Oryzias latipes: one gene and its partners. The protein of the gene in region 3 purifies or fractionates together with the protein of the main gene of each other region. This does not show direct contact. Links are inferred from orthologs where the notes say so. Each region holds a gene or a part of one and is shown on either strand. Other genes may lie near its edges. The genes, in order: protein lin-28 homolog A, upf1, ncbp1, kpna4, ncl, thoc2 and kpna3.

Region 1 (3,500 bases), on a different chromosome or scaffold from region 3:
GTAGAGCAAAATATTGCAGACATTATAACACTTTGATCCAAACAGTGGCCTCCCAAAAGTTCCTAGTAGAGTTTGACAAATGGCACAAATAATTAATGATTTTTAAAAAGTTTTTGATTTTTGCGTGTCCCTTTATTTTCTTTTTTAATAATATGATAAAAATAATTTGCTCATATTAGAGGATATGTTGGCACTTGACATAATGGATAAAAAAAACTGCCCTGAAAAGTAAGCTGGCTTTACGACGGCACTTTCTCATTTCTTTGAAAAACCTGAGTAGAATCATCAAAACAGAGTTTGATTCTCTAAAACGCCAGAATTTATACAAGGCATCACCTTGCATCGAAGTATGGAATAGTATGCGTGTCAATCATTCGTGACATTCTCCTTGTCACAAGCACTGATAGTCTGGAACACCAAGTATCAAAAGTTTGAGAGGAGACGATGATTAAATACTACAAGCCCCAGTCCCTTTACAATCTTCTACGACATCCCCATCTACAACGATTACAGAGGAAAAAATACAATAGTAATGAAATACTTTTTTTTTATATTGTGAGAAAGAATACAGAAAAGCATTGTATGGAAGGATGAATCAAAAGACCTGAACATTTACTGTTGTCAATTGCAGCCGTTGCTTCTGTGACCCAAACCTTCACAGTTTTCTAATGAAAGTCCAGTAAATAAAGGGGGAAAAAATAAAAGAATACAAACAAACTGCACCTTCTCTGGCCTTCTTTTCACATCATGAGGATGAGCATTTGGATCCCTGCTTTGTCATACACTAAGACTCTGTGACTCCTTCCAGTCAATCTGAAGGGCTCCCTGAGTTTCAGTTTATTAATTCCTGAGATAATCACCGTAGTAGATTATTTTTCTCCCGCAACAAATTGGAATTGAAAATAAAAAGTATATAAAAATCAAGATATATATTCAAAAATATAAAATAAACTGAAATATTTACATATAGATAAAACAAATTGATGCATCTTACACATGATTAGTGCAGTGACATTGCATTGGATATGGCATAGATAAGGATGACAATGATCTATTTTGTCTTAAAAGGCTCATTAAGCACTCACATGAAGAAAAAAATAAAATACAAATAAAAATCAAATTTAAAAAAAACCCTCACAGTTAACACCAGACCTCATTTTGCCATGTGTGCAGCATGTTCTTTATATTGTTACTCTTAACTAGTTATAAAACTATGTGTTCATACTTAATTAAATTAAGGAAAATTGCATGAATCAAGCACATATGTACAAAGCAATGAGAGTACCTGGATGTTAAAAGTTACTAAAATATAAAAAAAAATCATAATACAGATTCAAATGGCTTTGCAGTTTTCTGGTGTCTGTGCCCAAAACTTCATTACTGAGAGGTCTCAACAGGATCAGAGGGTGAAGCTGCAGTACTCTTGAATGAAAATAAATAAGTAGTATGATCTTTTTAAAAAGGCTTTAGAATAATTTTACATATATATTAATTGGATGTAACGTCAGCTTCTCCTGTAAAACGGGAGTAAAATGCTGATTAGCTAGCTAGACCTACATGCAACTCTGTGCAGGCTTGGTGTTCCTGAACAATCACCCTTCTGCAGATTATAGGGAGGTCAAAGTCTTAAATAACTACCTAGAAAACGATCATACTGGATATAAATTAAAGCGCCAGTCTTTTCACTAGCATCGCAACGTCTGATTCTTCCTCGTTGTTGTTTTCCTCAAGAGGAGAAGTAGCAGGACTCGTCAGTATTTCAGCCCATGTCAAGTCTTTCAGAAGTGTGGTGTTATGATTTAATCAAATCCATGTTCAAGTCATTCAAAAGCAGCATTTTCTTTAACACATCTGGCACGAAAAAGTGACACCTTGCAGCTGACGGTGGCCGAAACGGAGCGTTATGCTGCCATCTTTGGGTCTGATTGTGTCTTTCTTTACCTGCTGATGGCTGATGGTTTAAAACTATAGACTCTGAGCAATTGTGAAACTAAATTGCAGCGCCACTTCAAACAGTACAACTGACCACCTTCTGTGAAGTTAGCGGTTAGTGGTTAAAAGCGTTGTGACACACTTCATAAAGATGGTGAAAAGTGTAGTCTTTTCATGTTGACCTGCAGCTGAGGAGACAAAGAGATTAAGATCTCTAAATATTATATAATGCTTCCATTTTCCTCTTTCTCCCAAACAGACTGAAAATCTGCACAGCTGTCGTCTTTTCACATTAATAGCTGTACCTTAAGTCGACACAAAGCCAGCACCTGCGGAGCAACACGAGGCGGTCATCACTGCAATTCCAAAATATCCCATATCATGTCGACTGAGTGTAAATACTGTAGTGCAAAAGGGATTTGATTTAACCCTAACATACAATCTCCACTCTCCAAAGCCCTAGTCTGAGAATTTCTGGTGATTGTAAGCAGTGAGGATAATAGAGCAAACATGCACCAGTGAGGTAGACCAGACTAGCCAGCTAAAAGATGAATGACAAAGAAAAAATAATCAACGAAACATATATATATATAACTGACCAAAACCTGAAAACAACTTTTGGTCTGACATTCATTTGGCCCCAGGAAAACTGGATGGTCAACTGCAATTTTGAAAATACCATTTCATTGCCAATAGCTATACCCTTAAACCCATCAAAAGTTTTTTTTTCCCCCTATTCTGTCATGAACCCTCCCAGTGTGTGATATGCACACTAACATTCATTACAGAGCAACTAACTATTACATGTGGTGTAAAAGTCAGGAAAGAGATGAAATTGTAAGGCAGCAAAAGCATCAATCTATTCTAACCACGCGGAGTCTTATGCATATATTGCGGGTGTTTGAGAGCCTCGAGAAAAGGCTCTTTTTTTCACAGAACCTGTGAAAACCCGTGAAAAACCAAAGTGTTTTTTTTCCCTCTAACAGCAGTGATTCGTTCATCTAGCAAGCTTTGCGAGTGCAATTGTACAGAAGTCTTCCTGAGTGTTACACCAGTTGGAAAAAAACATTCTTCATGAGTATTTTTTTTTTAACCTGAGGTAAATCCAAAAGCAGCTTCAGCAGCTGGGAAGGAATCGTGTGTCCTTCCTCGCCGTCGAAGCAATTTGATTGGCTTCTGTGCTTCATCGAGGCCCGACCTTTAGTTTAATCTGACGTCTCGGGAGGCGGTGCCGGGTGGCTGTAACCTCCCTCGTCTCCTTTCAAGGGAGACGGTTTTCCCTGAGAGCTTGGTGAGGACTGTTGTGCTTTGATTGGGCAGCTGGCGACCATGTGATCGATGCTCTGGCAGAAATGGCACTTCTTGGGCTGAGGTGGCAACTTACACTCTTTGGCATGGTGGTCCAGACCTCCACAGTTGTAGCACCTAAACAGCAAAAGTGTTTGATCATTTTCTACACAAACAGATTTAAATGTATGGTGTTTTTGAGTGTTTTTTGGCACTCAAATACGTGTTTTCTTTGGAGACACAAGAAAAAAAATCACAATATTTTAATCAAAAAACTTTAT
Region 2 (2,393 bases), on a different chromosome or scaffold from region 3:
CCTCTCTCAGAAGGTTTGTCGACCGCTGCTTCCTTCGTAGGCTGCCGAGGAGTCAGGGCCCGGGTGAACATTACTTCCCACGATTAACCTAATTTTAAGAGTCTTGGACGTTGTTCGGGTTGATCAGACAACCCACATCCAGCATGGGGGACTTGTATTTTTGTCTGTGCTGAATGCTTGAAAGCTTCCCGCACACATTTCTGTCCAGGTTTGGAGAAAGAATTCTTCAGATTCCGCTGAAAAGCCTCGATTCTCGTCGGACGACGAGTAAACTGGACTAAAGCCTTCACAGGGACTGTGTGTGGGGGGCATTGTTGCATGGATCATTTTCTTTGGGACTGAACCTCTTTTGGATTCTCAGAGACTGTTGATCTCTCACGTTTCCCTCAGCAGCCCGACCAGACGCCGCCATCTTCTCGACCTCCTTCCATCACTACCCACGGGCATCGCTTCCTGCCTTTCGCTTGTTCACGCGGCCTCTCCTTCCATCTCCATGCGCATCGGTTAGTGCTCTCTTCTTCTACCCTCTTATTTCGCTCGCTGGTCATTGGTTTGGTTTCGCTATCCCGTCGCTTTCACTTGGTGGTGCTTCGGATGTAGCAGAGGAAAACAGGTATCCATTTTATGTTTTTATTTTTTCCCAGATTTAAAAGCTGATGAACTAAGCTCAGCTCCAGCCTAGCTCCCTTCTTCAGCCAACCTGCCAGATGTAAAACACACTATCAGGGGTCTTTTGCATTATAGGTTTTAGCCAAGCATTCATAACAAAGTTCTGCAGATTTACAGGTGGATTAAACCCTTAAGTGTTGTCTTTGCGCTGAAAACGGAGTAAACTCTAAGTAGTTTTGTCTTGACATAGAATTAAATGTGCCCCGATACAGTTTGTGACTTACACTTTAGTACTGTGACAGTCCGGTCACTCCGCCATGCTGGTACGCACGTTCGCCCTGGTAGGTCGAGTCCTGGGACAGGGCCACGTCGATTTGGGACTTGAACTCATCACCCAGATAGCTGTCCTGTAGAGGAGAAGACCAGACACTTCCTCAATGATCTGTACATATTTGACTGAATAAAAATTAGGATTCTACTTTAAAAAATGCAAAATCTGTATTATGCATACACCCTGCATGGGTTACCTGAGACAGCTCGGGCTGGGAGAGGCCGGGCTGGCTCATCTGAGAGGGCTGGCTTATGGAGATGTAGCCCTGGGTCAACGGCCCCTGAGAGAAAGACTGGGAGGCCCCATCCTGGCTGACCTGGCTGTTTGGTCCGTTAACCTGCCCGGGACCCTGGTTCCCGATGCCGCGGACCCTCTGCCGCCCGCTGCGCCCGGGCTTCCCTTTCATAGCCCCACGGCCTTCATAAAAACAGGAGAAGGATCATTTCTAACCATTTTGCAAAACACAAGAAGCAGGATAAATGAATTTTGGCCAATGTCAAGTATTAAAAACAGGGAAGAACTTTGGTCTAAGTGACCCTATTCATGGGTTGGACACCTTTCCATTTAGAAAACGACAAATCTGAGTATTTAAAGTCCCACTTTGATCATGTTTTAAGACATTTAAAAGCATTCCCAGGTGTCTTTTTGAGGCCTTTTTTGAGCCAAAATCAAGAAATCTGTGTTGTTTTTGCAGGTCATAGCTTCTGCAGAGCGGCAATGGTTGGTTTACCTGCAGCAGGGCCGTTCGCCTGACCCAAGTAACTTGGGGGAGGCATTGGGGGCATCACCAGGTTGAACGGTATGGGGATATTCATAGCGGCCATGTGACCTGGGCCCGCCCCAATCATTCCAATCTGGTCGTGTGTTTGAAAGTACATGTTGGACGGACGTCCAGCTGAAAGAGCATTTGAAGACACGGGGTTTACAAACGACAACAGTTGCTGAGATCATTTTTGAATGTTTACAAATGTGAAAAGATGTAGAAATACCAGTGCTGCTTCGATCGTATGCAGATCCAGGGATGAGAGCCTCTCGAGCGTCATACATGGCAGTGCTCATAAAACGAGCCCCCTGAACAAACAAAGAGTTTGGAGTTCTTTAAAGCCTAAACTAACAGTCATCTATATATTATGTTTATTCAAAATATAATAAAATTACTTAAAAAATAATTTTGCTGGACTTTGGCAAATTCAGTCCCCTAAGAAGTGTGTAAAAGTTCAAATAAAGCCAAGTTTAAAAAAGAAATGTAATGCTTTTTTGTTTTTCTAGTAAAAAGTATGAACAAAATCTGATTTTGAATTTTAAATTACTTTCTGGATTGTCATTTTCATGTTGAGAAAAAGTCCGATCTGCCTTGGAATTAGTGGTGCAGGAGGTTGTACTCACGGGGTTGATGGTGTTGACAAGTTTACGGGGTTTGCTGAACTGCATGAGGCTCTCTCTGAGGTTGTTG
Region 3 (4,286 bases):
TGCGTTTCAAAACCTGCTTGTCCAAAAGGCTCACCTCTTCCTGTGGATGTGGTTTCTCAGCGGTCCACACCTGCAGCATGGGGACGTGAGTCTTCACCCTCCTCCTGTCCAGGAACACAGCAGAGCGCTGGAGTCAGTCCAACAACAGCTTCAATGGAAAGCAAAAGATGCTCCAGAAAAGAGGCCGCGTCTCACTTGAGGTAGCCTTCGATCTGGCTCAGGAGTCGGTCCATCTCCACGTCCTTCTTCTCATAAAGTTCCTTGCCGACCCACGGCAGGCAGGACAGAACCACGTACACGAACCAGTCCAACCGAACCTGGAGCCAAAAGGGTCTCACGCTTACTGATCTTCATCTTCAAGTCAAATTGAGAAGCTGAAAAATCGTTTTTGTATAAATCTAAAACTATTTTTACACAGAAAACAATCATTTTTATTTTTGATTGGACTGCAGTTCTCCCAAAACCAAGTCATGGAATTTTGAGTCGTCATTGAGAACATCAGATGATACAAAAATAAAGGAGTTTGCTGAATTTGAAATGGGGAAACTCAGACGTTGCAGTAAAACAAAAGGAGGCGCCTTAAATGTGACATTAAGTAAAAAAAGAACGGGATGTTCATAAACTGAAACTTCTGATGCAAACAAATATTCCAGGTGAGGCCGTGCAGAAACAAACCTGTGGCACATCTTCTTCCTGAGTAACACTGATGAAGTTTTCAAACATGGCTACCATGGAAGGGGCAGCGATCACGTGACAGTTGACCAAGTCTGACAGAAAGCGCACCTGAAGAGAGCAGAGAACTTAAACGATGCCGAGAGCAAAAGGCGCTGCAGCAGCTGCGAGTTTAGACATTGAACATCAACAGACCAAGTAAACGGCTTCGTTGTAGAAGTTGTTTTTCAGCGTCTCCTTCAGCTGCCGGATCATGGCCTCCACAAACTCTCCCCCAAAGTTGTAGTTCCTGGCGTTCAGGAGGCCGACTAACGTCGTGTAGACTGTCAGCTTCTCCGGCAGGAGGCGGGCTCTGTCGAAAGACGCGTTTGTGAAAACGGACCGTTTGTTACGCTTGAGAATGAGGAGAACTGCGGACAACTTACACTGCACATAAAATACGCAGGATTTTGTTTTTGTAGTTTGGAAGGTCCGCCTCCAAAACCCCTGCGAGCCCCTCCAGGTTGCTCTCGAGGGACGATGTACTCTTTTAAAAGATCAAAGACGGACTTTAGTTATTGCAAATTATTTAAATAGTAAATATATGGCTTTATGACAAAACGGCCATCGTACTTTTTCTCCAACGCGACATATCAGCGACTCCAGGCGGTCTTCAATCTCAATAGGCTCTGATGTTCTCCTCCTTTTGTGGGCTTGACCTCCTAAAAATGAAAAGGACAGAACTTAAACCTCTGACCTGAGAGGACACTGAAGACAGAAAAACAAATCTACGTTTTGGGGGGAAAATAGTGTATTCGTCTCATAAAATCTAGTGTTTCGACAGTCACACATACTCCATCTGACTTTACTGGAGGTTTCCTCCTATATACTTTAGGTAAACAGAAGAAAAATGGAGAATATTGTGTCTAGGGCTAAAGACAAACAGTTGGACGTCAGCCTGCCGGAGAGCCTCAGAGACCGTAGAGATTTTTCAGAAGAAGCACAAAACCCATCTTTTTAACATCGCTTTGAGATAATTTCATCTGGTTAAAATAAAGATCTGATGTCTAAGCAGGACTTGGCCAAACTTGTTTATGTGTTAAGTCGATCTTTAGTCGACTTGACTACTGTTCCAGTGTTTTTGCTGGACGATACGGCAGCGTATTCAGAACTCTGCTGCTCGGGTCCTTCAAAGGAGCCAAATATTAGACCACATCAGTCCAGTTCTGACCTGTCCGGTAATCTGGATCTGCTCTTTCGTCAGTACCTAGAGTCGAAATCAAACACGAAGAAGCTGCATTCAGCTTCTATGCTCTGTAGATCTGGAACAGACTACCAGAATTAAGCCTTGGATCAGCTGAAACACTCAGTTTATTTAAATGCAGGTTGGTATTTACTTCAGTTCTTTAAATTTTTATTTTGGTGATAACTCCTTTAATATTTCTGTTAAATTTTTCTTTTAGTGTTTTATGTAAAGGACCTTGAATTGCCTTTGTACATAAAATGTGCTTAAGAAATAAACTTGCCTTGCTGATTCTCTCCTTACTGAAATCTCTGAATGAAAGGTAAACACTCAATGGAAGCCAATAGAAGTCATTTATACATACAATGACAAATACATACTAAACTAATCCTACATTATATAAAAATATTGTTAGGTCTGATATTTTTTTAGTGTGGAACCGTGAGACACTTTGGTTGTGAATGTTCCTTTATAAATCACAAAATCCACAGGGCTGTAACATCACGTTTCCATGCGCATGATGATGAACCCACAGAAAAAGTGTCTCTTTCAACACTTACGCCAGTCTTTACAAACATTAAATGTGTTTTGTGTGCCAGAAACCGTTATAAAACATAAATCTGGCCGTTAGCGTTAGCTAAAGTAGCTAACTAACGGAACCGGGTTTTTCTGGTAAAACTTAATCTCTTAAAAATCATTTTTTAAAATCCCCTAATTTATTTAGTAGCTTTAAAAAAATACTTGATATTGGGGCAACGCCTGCTATCGTTGCATTCCTTTAAAGTTATAGCACATACAGATAATCAAGGTAGCTGTAGCTAGCTGCCGCGTTAGCCGTAACGTTTGAATCGCACATGCAGCGCGCGACTTGCCGTCACTGTCGTCGCTGTGTCTCCTCCTGGACATGTTGTCCCCCCTGAGCTGCACGCGTGCAGACACCCGGTGTAAAAAAAATAACGCGGGACAGACCGGTGGATCCGGGAAAAGCTTTGCTTATTTTGAACGGCAGAGTCCGGAGGCGGCAGCAGCAGCAACAGCAGCTTCTTACAGAGAAATAACAGCGGAGCGATTGAAATGATGGACATCCGGGTCATTCAAGGTACAACCGGAAGCTGAACTTCCACTTCCGGTGAGCTGCACACTCGCATGGAAATACAAGGGTATTTACCGCGTTTGAGAACTTATATCTCTCTTTTTGTCAGTATTTACGCGTTCTATCACAAAGTTGCGTTTTTTACGATCACAAACATATTTGTCGTGCATTTAATTTGCCAGTTGAGGAGAATGGCAGCCAGTGAAGCAGTCTGCTCAGAGTTTCTGAACTGGGAGGTCAACACGTCGATGGTTGATCATGGATCAATTAAGCAAAACAAACACATTTCTGCTGCTCACAGAAAATATTACAGGTTCTGCAGGAGAAAGGTAGGAGAATATCTGGCTTCTCTTTCCACAAAGACAACGCAGAATGATTGAAAACAGAATAAAAAATGACTAAACTAATCTAAACTAAATATTGATTCTGACCCAATTCTGGGCAGTTTGCATCTTTTATATATTAGTAATATTATTACTACTAGGTAGTAATATTATTACTACCTAAGGTATTCAAGACATGAAAGTTAGAGAATATCTTTGGTATTTGTTTTTGTTTTTCTGTGTATCAAATCTAATCAATCTTTATTTATGTAAAATTTATATAATTCTAGAACATGATAACACAAAGTGCTTTACACCAAAACAAACAACATAAAAAAGGCACAACAATTTAGAAATAGATCCTGTAGTTAAAAACATATTTGACCATTTTACAGTTGAAAACTCACCTTTCACCAGGCGTTCATTAAATGATTACTTTATATTTAGTGAGGCACATTTACCTTCTGTCCTGGGACAACAAATAGAGGGGGGGGGGCTTTTGGCCAACTGGTAAATTTGCAGAGAGGCTTTTTTTTAGTGTTTGATGTCACAAACAAACAAATACATAAAAAAAAATTTGTTGCTTCTTTTAAATTGTCACTTTAGACATATAAAATTCTTCCCTGTTTTTGTCATAAACAGATTATTACCGTTTACCGGACCAAATAGATGTAAATCAATGCTTAAATCATTTATAGATATGTAATATATTTCAGGCTTGATCAGAGTATTGACAGGCCAAAATTTGGCTCATTACGTAAATATTGACGTGAACCTCAATGATGATGATGATGATGATGATGATTCAAGACATCACATTTAGAAACTCCTTTAGTCGGTCCAACTTTTTTGGAAACCATATATTTCTGGAAGTATTTGAAACAGAATACATTTGCTTGATTGAGGTAAATGCTTTGATTCTTTTTCCTTTTCAGTCTTTTGCCTCGTTTGTGGCTTCAAAGATCTGCAGTGCAGA
Region 4 (3,500 bases), on a different chromosome or scaffold from region 3:
GATCAGAGTGGGAAAACATGCAGTGTGTTGACAGTCAACTCTAAACTAAAAAGTTCCAACATAAAACACATTTACAGCCATTTCTTCAGTTTGGTTCAACTTACATCATCAGATGAGAAGTACTGATCAATAATTTCGTAAGCCAATTTGTAGATATCTTCATTTTCGTGATTTTGAAGTTGCTCCACTTTTTCCAAACCTGTGATTAAAAAAAAAGACAAAAAATATTTGCAGCACACAGAAGCTGTTGAGTGGAAAGGGATGAAACCTCAGTGTTAGACGTTGAAACCCACCTCCACATTCCTCAATGAGGTTAGCAATAGTTTCTGCCTCGTCGTCAGCCATCTTTAGGATATTGCTGAGACCATCAAGGACGACCTGCACCACCTGAGCGTCCTTCACTGTGAGCAGGTTGCAGAAGGGAGGAATCACCTGTTTCTCAATGAGGTGAGCCACCTATGATTGTAGAAAGAGAGCATTAATAATGCATTCAAGTAAAAAATACAAATGACTAGGCAAAAAATCAGAGTACCTGTGCTTTTATTTATGCAAAAACAAAACAAATCACAGTTGGCATTTTCCCAGTAAAAACTGGCATATAGATACCAGATTAAGTAGTCCAAGTAAACTAAAGCTGAGGTTCTCACCTGATCTTTTCTGCCACTTATTGTCAGGTTACTGATGGCCCACGCTGCTTCTTTCTGGGTGCCAAAGTCGCCCTACAAAAAAGAAAAACTATCAGCAACACACTCTGAATTTTTACAATATGTATTTCATTTAGAAATCATGCAAACCTTGTCAAGCAGGTGGATGATCATGGGGACCAGCTTGGCATCTATGACTGCCTGCACCTGCTGCTGGTTCCCTGCTGTAATGTTGGACAGGAACCACACTGCCTCCTACAGGGCAGAACATGCAGCAACCAGAGAGCGTGTTTAGGGATCACACATGTGCCTCCACGTTTTGTTTAAAAAAGCAACACAAGAAAAAACAGTTTTTTTCTGACTACAGCGAGGCAACAGAAACAGTTTGTTCTTAAACTGGATCAGAATCCAGACGTCAGCAGAGCGGCGCCGACATCTGGTCGAGACAAAGGTGTTGTGGGTGGGGCGAGGGTGATTTGAGGCTCTAATCATCGACCAGCCACAGAGCAGGCCTCTTTTTCTGAATGGCTGGTCTCAGATGCACCCCGATATCAACACTTATTCAGCACCCTGCTTTCCACCACCCCCATGATATTACACAGTCACGCAAACAATCGACCCCCCACCATCACCCCTACCACCCCCAACCCAAGTAATCCCCTACAACTCTCCGATGCCTTCTTTAACCATCTTCATCCTCGCGATCATCCACGGTGAGACTTTGTTGTTTTCTATGAAACCCCCCTCCAATCTTTCACCCAGCATTCACACACTAACACCACGTCTCTGATTTCATCACTTCCAGACAGCGTGTGCAGCAGTTTAAGACACTCAGAGCTGCAGCAGACGTTACCTTGTTGATTTTCTCTTTTGGGTGGGTGAGGAGTGCTGGGAAGTGGCTGAGGGCGTCACAGTTGAGCACTACCTGCGTCTGCTCGTCTGTGCCGGTCACTATGTTCCCAACGGCCCTGAGGGCAGCAGTCTGGATGAGGTGGAAATGACACAACCATCAACATGAACTCATCAATTCTAGAAAACTGCACAAGTTTAGATGTGAAAGCAGCAGCAGTGCTCAATAACACAAGTGATCATCCTCAGAAGAAATGTGACAATTTTAAAGACAAAATTACACAAACACCATTATAGTTTGTTTATAAGATAGCAGTTTTAACTACGCAGTGTTTTGTGTTTTTTAATAAAAGTTGGAAAGTTGGTGTTAAGTTTTTTAGTGGTGGTGTAAAAAGCCAGAGTAAAGCCGAGTCTTTGTTTAAAAGCAAAGACACCTTCCCAAATGAATAAGTAATATATGACAGCAGCAACGACAGTCTCTTCTTCCCACCTGAACTTTGACCTCTTGGTGACTCAGTAGAGGTACCAGATGAGGGACAATGCCTGAGTCGATGACCATTTGGATCTGCTCATTTCCAGCATCAGTCAGGTAAGACAAAGCCCACACGGTGTCCACCAAGATCTAGAAGCGGTAAAGAAAAGAAATAAAGGAAACGTTTTTTAAAACCATGTTTAGGCAAATGCTGTCACCTCCAAACCAGTGAGGACAGAACAGCACAGCCTGTTATACTTACACTGACATCAGTGTGATGAATCAGCACACAGAGAGCTGGCAGGATCTGAGAAAATAAAAACACATTACAAAGTGTAGGGATGGATAAAGACAGTGAATAACAGATTATATTTAAAGTCCTCACATCTCCAGAAAAATCTATTCTTATCCTGTACTACGGCCTGCAGTTTCAACACCCTACTCATCCTTTAAACACCATTTTCTCTGCTTTCACTGGTTCAGACGGATGAGACATCAAAGCGTAATCCCTTTGCAACGCTCATTCTCAAATTCAGGACACAATCTAGAAGGGCTGGAATTGAGAGAAAAGAAGACTCCCACCTACAATTACCTTATGGCAAAGGAAGACCAAAAACAGCTGAATGTAGTTATTCATATTTCCTTTCTTCTTTTCAGTGATCAATTATGATTAAATGATGAAGATACAACTGAATTCTCTAATAATCCAGCCGTGAATAGGGAGTTAACATAGATAACGGTGTTCATTACAGAAGTAACCTTGAGGCATGTTCAAATAGGTTTGCAAGTCCAGATGTCTTTGGTCTTTTGCAGTATGATCTGATGATTCTACAGTTGATCATTTTAAAAAGACTTTTCTGCAGATATTCAGCTGCAGACAATCGTCGACAAGCCTGATTCAAACTACAGTGTAAAGGTTTAACCACAAGTTTACCGGAGCTTTTGTGCACTATGACAGCGCGTGTCATCTCTGTGAGGGAGGGGTTTGTTCGTCTACACATTTAATTCAATTCAATTTTATTTATATAGCCCAATATTACAACAATAGTCATCTCAATGGGCCTCATACCAGCAATTGTATAATAAACATGAATCATTAAGAACATAAAGTCATACAATTCAATAGGTAATGGCTAAACTAAACTAAACTGGGCATCCCTACACATAGACCTTCGCAGTAAGTAAAAACTAAACTGATTCCGAAAAAAAGAAAAAACCTCAGGGGAGCCCACATGAAGGAGGGATCCTCCCCCAGGATGTACAGGCGATGTACCAGAATTCCTAGAAAAGAATTAGCTTATCTAACGTTACAACTACATTTTAAGAGGTTTAAGATGCCCTCTGATGAAATTGTTGTGAATCAGAAGTAGCTTAAAAAAAGGCTTTTTGAAAAAGCATATTTGTGACTTAGAAAATATGCTGGACGGACCATTAAATCCCTGCTCTGCTCCATTCTGATGCCTCTGCTCCATTCTGATGCACTCATTTCTAGATGCATGTGTGTCAGTTTTCCTCGTCTGAGCTGACATCTGGCT
Region 5 (2,225 bases), on a different chromosome or scaffold from region 3:
AAAACTAACATTATTACCAGGCAACACAGAATGCTGCTTCTGATTGATGAAGTATTGACATTCAAATTTATTACAATTGGTATTTAGCTACTGAAAATACTGAGAACACTAGAAAGATTTTTTATTGAAAACAATAATTTATACAGGTACAATTTTATTACAACTGTTTAAACAGCTTTCTTAAATTATCATTTTATCAAATATTCATCAAATCAAAATATTTGTTGCACAGCAGACATGGGCAACACCCATAAGCATGTAGGGCGAGCCTGTTTTGATCTGTGCACTGGCTCTGCTTCTCGTGCGAATCCGTACAGAATCATGGATGCGATTGAGAGGAGCTCATGAGAAGGTGCTCTAGAATTGTAAACAATAACCGTCTTCTCCAGCACTTACCCTTTAGGTCTGCCGTCCCTTTGAGGAATCCTTATGGAAGCTGCTTTTTCAAACGTAGACTGTAGAACATCTTCTGTGGCACTGAAGGCCAGATTATTTACAACCAACGTTTTGTTGACTCCTCCTGATGCTAAACGGCAACAAAAAGGGTAGAAATTGTTCAATTCCCAATTAACTTTCATCACACCTAAGCAGGTTTTAAGGTTTGAGCATTTGAACCAGTTACTGAGTACATATATTTAAAGGATTTTACTAACAGTTCTGGGTAGTTACATATCATCAATACAGGACTCAGTACCTGACATTCTGCCACCTTTTTGGCTCTTATCTCCAACAAAGTCTAAAATGATGGACCTCCCTTGCACATCGGCTCCCTGGGCCTCCTCCATCATCTTCTCTGCGACAGCTTCAGATTTGAATTCAATGTAGGCAATGCTGCATTAAAGAAACAGAAAAGCTGATATGAGGACAAGGTAAGATATAACTAGAAACAATTGGGCATAAGGCTGGTAAGTTATTTTAAAGATTTCAAACTATAAAAGTGACTTCTGTAATTGAGTTTTTTCTTACCCTCTATTTGAACCGTTTTGTCCCTGAGGTAACCGGACATCAACCGCATCTTCAAACAATTCCTTCAGGTCATCAACCGTGGCAGAAAACGGAAGATTTTTAACAAAAAGGGTCCGCGCATCTCTCTCTGTAGAACCAATATCAATTTTAGAAAAACACTGATAATACAGACTTCAAACATTTAGCAGACAAACTTTGCAAAGGTGCATGTTTACCTTTCTTTCCTTCCTGTGAGTTATCTTTCTGACGGGCCTTGTCCAGCTTTAGTTCTTGACCCATGAATTTCTTGCCATTAAGCTCCATTGCCTTGTTCATGTCTTCCTCTGAGGCAAAGTCAACGTAGCCAAATTTCCTATTGAAGCAAGATGCAAAATTAGAAAATTAGACCTCAAATTAAATCTACCTTAAATGAACATCAAAGGTTTTTGGCTGAACTCGTGAATTTCTTTATTTAAGATCACAAAAACATTTGAGTTGTCTTGAATTCAGTCGCTCTTCTCCAACCCCTAAAAATGAATCATTGCAGGATCGCTATATCACACATTGTGAAGCAAGCAACAAACATTTTGAACAACACTCTTAAAAAGCTTAAACTTGTGGTGCAATGCAATTGAAACCGGGGTAACCATATATTTATTTGAGTTAAAACAAGTGAGCCATGAAAGGAAGCAATGACCAGGAAGACCTTTAAAAGGACAAAGGTTCCCAAATGACTGTGGGGAAAACACCCCTACATCTCAGGTTTTAACACACATTCTTGTCCGGGCAAGACGTGTGTGTTTTTTTTTTAAACTTACTTGGAACCTCCTAACCGGACATCAACAATCTCTAGACTGTTTTTGGAGAAGAATTTTCTGAGCGAGGCTTTGATTTCGTCAAAGTCTTTGTTGGAGTTGAGGTTTCCAACAAACAAGCAGAAGCCTGGAAAAACACAAAACAACAGTTTTTACAATCCAAATGTGGGTGAAAGCAATAAATGCAGAATAAGGCCAAGCATATTCAGAATAATTCAAGGTGACATCACACATCAGTATTAAGTCCCTTGTTGATCATCATGAGAAATAAACTTCAGAATGATAAACCAACATGTCTGTACTTGCCTTCTCCATCAGACTTTGCTTTCTTAGCAGGAACTGGTTCTTTCTTTCCATCTGCCTTTCTCTTTGCAGCTTTAGCTGGGGCTTCTGTTCAGACAGAAAAAAGACTTTGTACAAAGTTGTATGCAGGAAATGTTTAATTTTTTTTCAATGCAAAATCGA
Region 6 (3,927 bases), on a different chromosome or scaffold from region 3:
ATACAAATGGCCAAATTCAGACATGCAGACAAGAAACAAGCCAGGCTGAACTTACCTCTAATTTCACTTCCATGATCACTTTTCTCTGTAAGGTCTTTGCAGAGTTGTATGCTATCAAGAAAAAAAAAAACAACAACAAATCTTTAGTAATCTAGAACATGGAAAAGAAATCCTGGAAAAAGCGAAAGAACTTCACTCTGAGTGATGGGATGAATAGACAGAAACGTAGTTGAAAACCAGCTTTGAAATGAGTTTTGATACATAATAGTAAAAGGCGAATACAGTTTATTAAAGGGCCTATACCACCTATTCTTAAGCCTTTTATAGCAAACAACGTCCATGTATGTGATAATATTTTACCTTTGTCATAAAAAAGAACAATTTTTTAATGAAATATTAGTTATTTTCCTGAGGTCGTTAACAACTGGGAAGTAAGACTACTCGATCTCTGAGGCACATGTGGGCGTTTCATGATGTCAACCTAGAGACGGCCTCGCAGCACGTCTGCGTCTAGCTCACAAAATTAACCAACATCCAAACTTTTGCAAAGATGGATGTGCATATTATGCATATAAAATGAAGATTTGCCAATCACCCTTAGCTCCACGGAGAAGTGTGTATGTGCGTTAGTCTGGGGCTGGGAGCGCAGATTCTTCCTGGAAGGGGCTATTCTTCACTTTTCTACGTCACAATGTGAGAACCCACTCATTTTCATGGGTGGGCAGGGGCTGGTGCTCAGAGTGCAGGTTTTTAAAGGAATACTCATATGTGTTAACGGATCACAAATACAGCTTTGGGGTTTCTTTCCGTGAGGAATGAACATTAAAATACACAAAAAAAAAATATTTTGCATGGTAAAGGCCCCAATGTGCTTTATAGTCCGATTCACACACACTGACGGTGGAGACGTCTTGCCAACCGCCAAACAGACCACCAGGAACAATATGGGGTAAGGTGTATTATCCAAGGACATTTTGACACATGGGCAGGCATGGGGGGAATCAAACCTGCAACCTTTTGATCAGAGGTCCACTGTTCTACCTCTGGGCCACAGATGCAATTTGAATCCAATTGTAAACCGCATTGTGTTGAGTAGATTGAAACCACAATCACTGATTCTGCATGTTTTAAACGACTTTCTACAAAACTGTGCCGTATTCTGTTTACTTTTACTTCAGATTATATTTTACCATTTCCAGAGCCCAAAAGCATTAAAAAGAAGAAAAGGGGGCTGAAATTTTCTAGATTCAAAAAAAGTGCAAGCTTTTAATTTTAATATATAAAAAAGTAAACATACTTTGAAACAAATATCTTACTTGCTTAAACCAGATGTCAGATAATTTGCTACAGAGTGGACATTAGTTAGTTTAAAGCAAGTTGAATTTGGTGAAAACACTAAATGACATTTAGTGAAACTTTAAACGGCATCTTGTGACAACCCAGAAACTTTCTTCTAATACCCTTTATCAGCTCCAAGCAGAGAAGCTAGTGCCTAAGTGTAAAGTGCAGGCTTTTTCCAGCCTGTGGGCCTATGCAGACTGAAGAACAGCTAACACTATGGGTGTGAGCCTAGAGTGCAAGTCTGTGTCTCGTGTGCGCGGACTAATTAAATAAACACATCATTCCCGTTTTGCTAAAGATTTCATTTGATTTATTACCCTATCTATTGTCCAATTCTTAACGTGTAGGGGCCTTTGTTGTTGCTGTGGTAAACACGATGGCCACGGTAACGGTGATATGTAAAATGGATGACTCTTATAAGCATGTAATCTGCTGGTACTATTCCTTAAAACGGATCCTAACTTTTAAGCTTTTATTTAACAAGAAAATAATAGCCCGCTGTGTTAACTAGCGCAAAACCTAGCTTAATTTCAGATTAGCTAACATCAAAGTTGTAAAGTTAGCCGCAGCATCTAAATTCAGAGACTGCATCTATTCAGGATTAATAATCAACATATACATTTACAATTGTCACGTGTATTTAAAGAGAAAACATAATAACACACTTTCCCTTCCCAATGTCATGGATTTCTGAATAAAATATATAAGAAACCAAAAAAAGGTGGCCGATATACGATAACACAACCAACACTGGAGCTAGCTAAACTTGATGCAACGTTGTTGTAAAATCCCTCGTTTCCCTCCACTTGATCAAGTATATCTAACAAGCAAGTCCCCAAACGTAATGCTGAAAATTGATTTATATACGTCTGTTATAAAGATGAGCAGTTATAAAGCTCTTTCCCCCGTCACTGATTATTTGGCTGGCTAACACGATGAGACGTGTTAGCTGAATGTATTCCAACTAGCTTAGCTTTGATAGCCGTAATGTTCGCAAAAACAGTTTGAACATCATCATGGTTTTCTCACAGGAAACGTAAACTAACAGACTTGAGCTTGTAGTGTTTTCTTTAACCTTTTACAGCTTAGCGTCAAGCGTTGCAGATGTGTATTTACAAGAGTTTAAAGTTAGCCGCACAAGCATTTTAACGTTGTTGCTAACACAGCTATGGCTAACACGGCTGAAGGACTGTCCTTCGCTTGTTGAAATGCTAGCTACTTCAATTTTGTTTTGTAAACACAAAGAAACGGCGCAATGCCGAGGACCGCATTTAATTAAAACATGTACTCACAACTCGTGTTTTCCAGACTTCTCCCAGTTTTTGATCCATTCACCAGAGATAATAAGTGTCGCCATCTTCCATACACACCGCCCGGATGTCTAGTTCATAATCATGGCACACACAGGGTCAAATGTGGGGATGAGCCGCCGTTGTTAGTGTTGCATGGCGGGATTCTGAGGGTTTGGTGCGGGTATCGGAGGACAGGCGTTATACTTGGGAACGCAGTTAAACATTTTCAACGTATTTTGTGTTGGAAAAAGAATCCAACGCAAATGCATTTTAAGATTACCGGTAATTAGGATAGTGTGAGAAAATAGCAGACCCACCCAAGACTAGCCTAACTGTCGGGATCAACATATATTAATTTCTCTAAAGGATTACCTAGAATTTATTACACGATTTTTCATTGATATATTTCATCTGGTCCTCATCCGATCCCTAAAATGATTCACAATTAAAGTTAACCTCAACTCAATGGTCATATTTGGCCTAAGTAACTTTTCTATAGAAACTAAACCTGATGAAATGCCAAAAGTGGGCTAAATTGTGTCTGAAATATGGCATAAACCAGACTAAATAAAGTAACTTCCTTTAAAAAATAAATAAATAATAGACCAACAATATTACAAACACTATGACAGACATTTCTAAATGAATCTGGAAAAATCAAACTGATTTACAATGGAAAAAATGGCTATGCTTTATTTAAAAATAGCTGGACTCTCATGCCAAAATGATAACACTTTTATAGAGGGTTTATTTGGCATGTGTTACAATATACATACAAAATATAAATGGAATAAGTGGACAAACGGCAAATAAGCACAGATTTAGCAGTTTAAACAAAGCAAACCAAACCAAACAAATCCAAAATGACATGTTGACATGCATTTCTACATGGATCATTGTTATTTGCCTAAGTATCCTTGTCTCGATTGTGCTAATTTTTAAGACTACATCTTCTCTCCAGTTTAATGATCTTTTTAATGAAATTAGCCTTTAATTGATAACAGAAATGAGAATACCATCCCATTATGTTGATTTCTGCTAACCAATTCAACACACAAATAAAAGTAATTCTCATATATCAAAAAGAAAAAAGTCAATACATTCATACTTGTAAATGAGTAAATCAATCTTCAATGAAAACATTTTTTTAAACAATACTTACACAAAGAGTAAAACCTCCAAATTAAAAGAAAAAACAAAAACGCACGGATTACAATATTTTACAGGTTTGAAGTCCTATCTTTTGCAGTTTTCACTATATAGTAGTCTAAAGACATGGGAGACTTTGGGGTCT
Region 7 (3,500 bases), on a different chromosome or scaffold from region 3:
GTATTTGCCAATTTAGTGAGCAGCGTTGCACCCTGGTTTTTGGCTAAGACTTCTGGGAAATTTCTAGGGCACTCGATTTTGGAATTGTAGATTGGGACAGCACTACAAAATGGCATCATAACATTAATTATGTGTCATATTCAGGCACTGGCTGTCTAATGAAACGAAGATTCCCATTTATCTATAAAATGTCAGTTTTAGTGACCGCTTTGTTTTGTATTTATCTGTCGCAAGGCTGAGGTTGGCGTCTGATTATTTAGCTTCCACTATGACAGTTTTGGGTTAATTCAGTTCAGTTCATTTCAGTTTTATTTATATAGCCCAATATTACAACACAGTTGTCTCAACGGGCTTCACTAATGGAAAATCTATATCACATTTGAATGGTTCCTATATGTAATCTCGAGGAAAGGTTTAAACCAGCTGCAGATATTTTACAGAGTATGAAGATAAACTTTACCCTCAAAAGTTAAGGGAAACTGAAAGCTTTAAAAACAGAAAATTGGACTTCAGCCTTATACAGGAAAGTCTGGGAAATTAAATTATTATTAACCCGGTCCTTGGCCTATAAAAGGTTAGAGAGCCCTCTTTTTGACCACTTCATGTACATAATGGCTGATCGACACCTTCGACAAAATTTCATCTCACCTGAACTTTCACCTCCTGATGGCTGAGGAGAGGCACGAGAAATGGAACGACCCCAGAATCTATAACCATCTGGATCTGCTCGTTGCCTCCATCCGTCAGATAAGACAGAGCCCACACTGTGTCTACGAGGATCTAAAACCAGCAAGTTTGTGTTACAAAGGTGACTGATTAAACCAGGAAATGAGCAGCGATGCCAATTGGATACTCACATTTAAGTCAGTGTGATATATGAGCATACAGAGTGCCGGCAGAATCTGTAGGAAAAAACAAGAACGAAAGATCTCGAGTAGATGAGTTGTAGCCATCTCATTAGATGAACAAACAGGCCTTCAAAGTAAAAGACTTTCTAAGGTGATGAGGCTGATTTGAAGCACAAAAGCATGTAATCAGGTCCAGACACACCCACCTCTTGCACAGTCTCCATTGGTGGGGGAGGATCCTTGTTGCGACAGAGGTTAACAATAACCCAGGTAACATTACGGAGGAAAGTAATGGGGATTGATGGACTGATGAAAGAGAGCAGCGGCTTCACCACACCCAAGGAGATGACATAATCCCTGCACTGTGGCCCATCGCCTGACCATACGACAGGTGGCATGTCAACATTGCGCTGGACAATGTCAAATGTTGGTACACACCTTTACCACAGGAAAGCACTTACCTATAATATTTCCTAGAGCCCATACTGCCTGTTCACACACGTTCTGGTGAGGAGAGTGTAGAAGGCGCAGGAACAGCGGCACTGCATCTGGGTCAGCAAGCGTCAACGATCAAAAAACCTAATATGACGTGACGTTACCAACACATGAAGATAAAGCTGCTGCGTTGGTGGAGCAGCTTAACACCCCGCACAGGCAGTAGCATCAAGAAACACCTTTGATTTCACTTTAAAGTGGAAAGTTGATGAAAAGAATGCCAGTAAAGCAGTCCACCTGGTTTCCTTTGATGCCCAAGTGCTGACCAGCGTCATGGTGTTCACATTTAAAGATTATTCTTCTGTTTCCCCCCCCAAAAAAAAGAAGAAGCTAAACAATTAATCAAATCTATTCAGGTCTTTGCCTCAATTGTGTCTGCATTTATAGTTTTTTACAGCATGGATTTTGCTATCCCGAGCATTCATCCATTTGTGACTTCATGTCTTTTTTGTGTCGGAATTCAGTTTTAGACATGATATTAATGTATCCACAATTTAAGTTTCACAAATAAAAATAAAGGTTCTGGTCAACAAATGGTTGATAGATGACTTATTTTCATCAATAAGTTAACAGGTAAAAAAGAAAATGCTATTTTTATTTACTTATTACAACAACATCAAATGTAAGTGAACTTTGAGACAAACAAAATAAGATGAAAGATGAATTGCTTAACAGTAAGTCAATACATTTGTTTTTTGCATCCTAAAGAGCTGTCATCACTAAACAAAAGTAGTCTGTTTAAGTGTACTACAAGTATACGTAGTCTGTATTAAAAGTGAGGTAGTATACTTGAAGTTTTCTTAATATACACTATTTATATATTGTAAACTTAAAATGTTCCAATTTAGTCGGAATAAGTATTCAGTGAGTATACTTCCTACACTACATATACTTAAATTCAAGAATACATCATAAAATAAACTTCAAGTATACTACTTCTTGCTAAAGGCCTAAACAGTACGGTAGTCTATAGTCTAGTGCAAAATGAGACACTGAAGAATAGCTGACTGGGATTTGCTGAACTAGTAGAAGACGACCATGCAGACGGCGTCCAGACCCAGACAGACGGGGAAGCATGTGGAGGACGGCGTATGGGGTCGACTTACTGGATTTAACCACAGCTTGAGTCTGTGCCGACGTCCCAGAGGCGATGTTGGTCAGAGCCCAAGCTGCCTCGAACTGTAAAGAAGGGCTACGTGGTGAAAGAGAAAGAAAACAAATCAGCACGAGAAATGAAAACACTGGTTTCCATGACAACAAACAAACGAAGCAAAAATATGTCAAACTAGAAAAGATAAAAATGGCGTCCACCATGTTAAAAACTGATTAGGCTCAGTTTTGTCTCCTACTTTTATTTTCTGACAATTTTATGCTGATTTTGAATTTTTAAAAAAAGCATAAAATGTTTCAAATCAATGTGTACTATAAAAGGATTCATGTGTTCAACAAAGTCACACATTTGCAGATGCTGTTCCTTAAAAAGGCATAAAGATAATAGTCTGATGTAGAACAGTTAGCCATCATTTACATCGTCTGTCAATTCAGTTTACAAGGTCCTCTACCTTTTATCATTATTTGGTCATACATTTCAGAGTGTACGTCTAAACCTTTCATGAAAAACACTCAAAGTTACCGGTAAATATGAATTCCCCTTTAAAATTAAACTCTAAAACCCCAAATTGAGAATTGTTAAGACAGTTTAGCCTGGATGTCACACAACAGTTAAAATAAATAAATAAATAAAAGACTGCTAACCTATGTGGTTTTCTGTTTTCAACATTGCTAGAAATTCTGTTTTTTTTTTATTCCTTTTTAACCATATAATGTTCCATTTAAAGTTCTTTCTTTCTTTACAGAACAGATCTGACAGATTTCTTGTCTAAATTCTAGATGTTCAAAACAAGAACTAGCTCCTTTCAAGAAAATCATCAACTTCTAAAGGATGCCATCGTCAATAAAAGCCCAACCATTTCTTCCATAAAAGCAGCCCAAGCTTTTCAGTCTGTGGCCCTCGGTGAACCCAAGGTCCTGGGAATTCAGTGAAATGTAGGAGAGAGGAATGCCGATCTATTTGGATTGGCTGAAGCTAAGAGAAGCAGCCAGCTGCTCTGCATGCCACCGCACACGCTCACATGTGGACTTGCAGGATAAACCAAG

Evidence for each region.
Region 1: the proteins of ncbp1 (region 3) and protein lin-28 homolog A purify together in Homo sapiens (affinity purification with mass spectrometry; 3 studies listed by BioGRID and IntAct, with this or other methods). This does not show direct contact. The link is inferred for Oryzias latipes from reciprocal best matches to the Homo sapiens genes NCBP1 and LIN28A.
Region 2: the proteins of ncbp1 (region 3) and upf1 purify together in Homo sapiens (co-immunoprecipitation; 3 studies listed by BioGRID and IntAct, with this or other methods). This does not show direct contact. The link is inferred for Oryzias latipes from reciprocal best matches to the Homo sapiens genes NCBP1 and UPF1.
Region 4: the proteins of ncbp1 (region 3) and kpna4 purify together in Homo sapiens (co-immunoprecipitation; 3 studies listed by BioGRID and IntAct, with this or other methods). This does not show direct contact. The link is inferred for Oryzias latipes from reciprocal best matches to the Homo sapiens genes NCBP1 and KPNA4.
Region 5: the proteins of ncbp1 (region 3) and ncl fractionate together in Homo sapiens (co-fractionation; 3 studies listed by BioGRID and IntAct, with this or other methods). This does not show direct contact. The link is inferred for Oryzias latipes from reciprocal best matches to the Homo sapiens genes NCBP1 and NCL.
Region 6: the proteins of ncbp1 (region 3) and thoc2 purify together in Homo sapiens (affinity purification with western blotting; 3 studies listed by BioGRID and IntAct, with this or other methods). This does not show direct contact. The link is inferred for Oryzias latipes from reciprocal best matches to the Homo sapiens genes NCBP1 and THOC2.
Region 7: the proteins of ncbp1 (region 3) and kpna3 purify together in Homo sapiens (co-immunoprecipitation; 3 studies listed by BioGRID and IntAct, with this or other methods). This does not show direct contact. The link is inferred for Oryzias latipes from reciprocal best matches to the Homo sapiens genes NCBP1 and KPNA3.

What each region holds. Positions count from the first base shown.
Region 1 is NC_019874.2:22,826,206-22,829,705, forward strand, and holds part of protein lin-28 homolog A, read right to left. Parts: intron 3,358-3,500; coding exon 3,138-3,357; 3' UTR 1-3,137. UniProt on the Homo sapiens protein: RNA-binding protein that inhibits processing of pre-let-7 miRNAs and regulates translation of mRNAs that control developmental timing, pluripotency and metabolism.
Region 2 is NC_019862.2:13,859,683-13,862,075, reverse strand, and holds part of upf1 (regulator of nonsense transcripts 1), read right to left. Parts: coding exon 2,327-2,393; intron 2,012-2,326; coding exon 1,930-2,011; intron 1,836-1,929; coding exon 1,671-1,835; intron 1,358-1,670; coding exon 1,137-1,357; intron 1,017-1,136; coding exon 897-1,016; 3' UTR 894-896; intron 701-893; exon of another isoform or gene 589-700; 3' UTR 1-588. UniProt on the Homo sapiens protein: RNA-dependent helicase required for nonsense-mediated decay (NMD) of aberrant mRNAs containing premature stop codons and modulates the expression level of normal mRNAs.
Region 3 is NC_019868.2:27,750,758-27,755,043, reverse strand, and holds the start of ncbp1 (nuclear cap-binding protein subunit 1), read right to left. Parts: upstream 2,801-4,286; coding exon 2,767-2,800; intron 1,374-2,766; coding exon 1,285-1,373; intron 1,199-1,284; coding exon 1,098-1,198; intron 1,025-1,097; coding exon 868-1,024; intron 784-867; coding exon 676-783; intron 318-675; coding exon 196-317; intron 105-195; coding exon 35-104; intron 1-34. Other genes in the region: tstd2 (thiosulfate sulfurtransferase/rhodanese-like domain-containing protein 2), read left to right, coding at 3,041-3,316, 4,246-4,286. UniProt on the Homo sapiens protein: Component of the cap-binding complex (CBC), which binds cotranscriptionally to the 5'-cap of pre-mRNAs and is involved in various processes such as pre-mRNA splicing, translation regulation, nonsense-mediated mRNA decay, RNA-mediated gene silencing (RNAi) by microRNAs (miRNAs) and mRNA export.
Region 4 is NC_019871.2:13,515,352-13,518,851, forward strand, and holds part of kpna4 (importin subunit alpha-3), read right to left. Parts: intron 2,273-3,500; coding exon 2,228-2,272; intron 2,116-2,227; coding exon 1,984-2,115; intron 1,627-1,983; coding exon 1,498-1,626; intron 900-1,497; coding exon 795-899; intron 720-794; coding exon 648-719; intron 457-647; coding exon 294-456; intron 200-293; coding exon 105-199; intron 1-104. UniProt on the Homo sapiens protein: Functions in nuclear protein import as an adapter protein for nuclear receptor KPNB1. Binds specifically and directly to substrates containing either a simple or bipartite NLS motif.
Region 5 is NC_019862.2:11,722,694-11,724,918, reverse strand, and holds part of ncl (nucleolin), read right to left. Parts: intron 2,151-2,225; coding exon 2,067-2,150; intron 2,023-2,066; exon of another isoform or gene 1,966-2,022; intron 1,888-1,965; coding exon 1,764-1,887; intron 1,319-1,763; coding exon 1,182-1,318; intron 1,094-1,181; coding exon 967-1,093; intron 832-966; coding exon 695-831; intron 527-694; coding exon 397-526; intron 355-396; exon of another isoform or gene 220-354; intron 1-219. UniProt on the Homo sapiens protein: Nucleolin is the major nucleolar protein of growing eukaryotic cells. It is found associated with intranucleolar chromatin and pre-ribosomal particles. It induces chromatin decondensation by binding to histone H1.
Region 6 is NC_019872.2:16,174,152-16,178,078, forward strand, and holds the start of thoc2 (THO complex subunit 2), read right to left. Parts: upstream 2,801-3,927; 5' UTR 2,699-2,800; coding exon 2,634-2,698; intron 112-2,633; coding exon 56-111; intron 1-55. UniProt on the Homo sapiens protein: Component of the THO subcomplex of the TREX complex which is thought to couple mRNA transcription, processing and nuclear export, and which specifically associates with spliced mRNA and not with unspliced pre-mRNA.
Region 7 is NC_019879.2:9,666,803-9,670,302, reverse strand, and holds part of kpna3 (importin subunit alpha-4), read right to left. Parts: intron 2,536-3,500; coding exon 2,450-2,535; intron 1,397-2,449; coding exon 1,310-1,396; intron 1,225-1,309; coding exon 1,055-1,224; intron 903-1,054; coding exon 858-902; intron 781-857; coding exon 649-780; intron 1-648. UniProt on the Homo sapiens protein: Functions in nuclear protein import as an adapter protein for nuclear receptor KPNB1. Binds specifically and directly to substrates containing either a simple or bipartite NLS motif.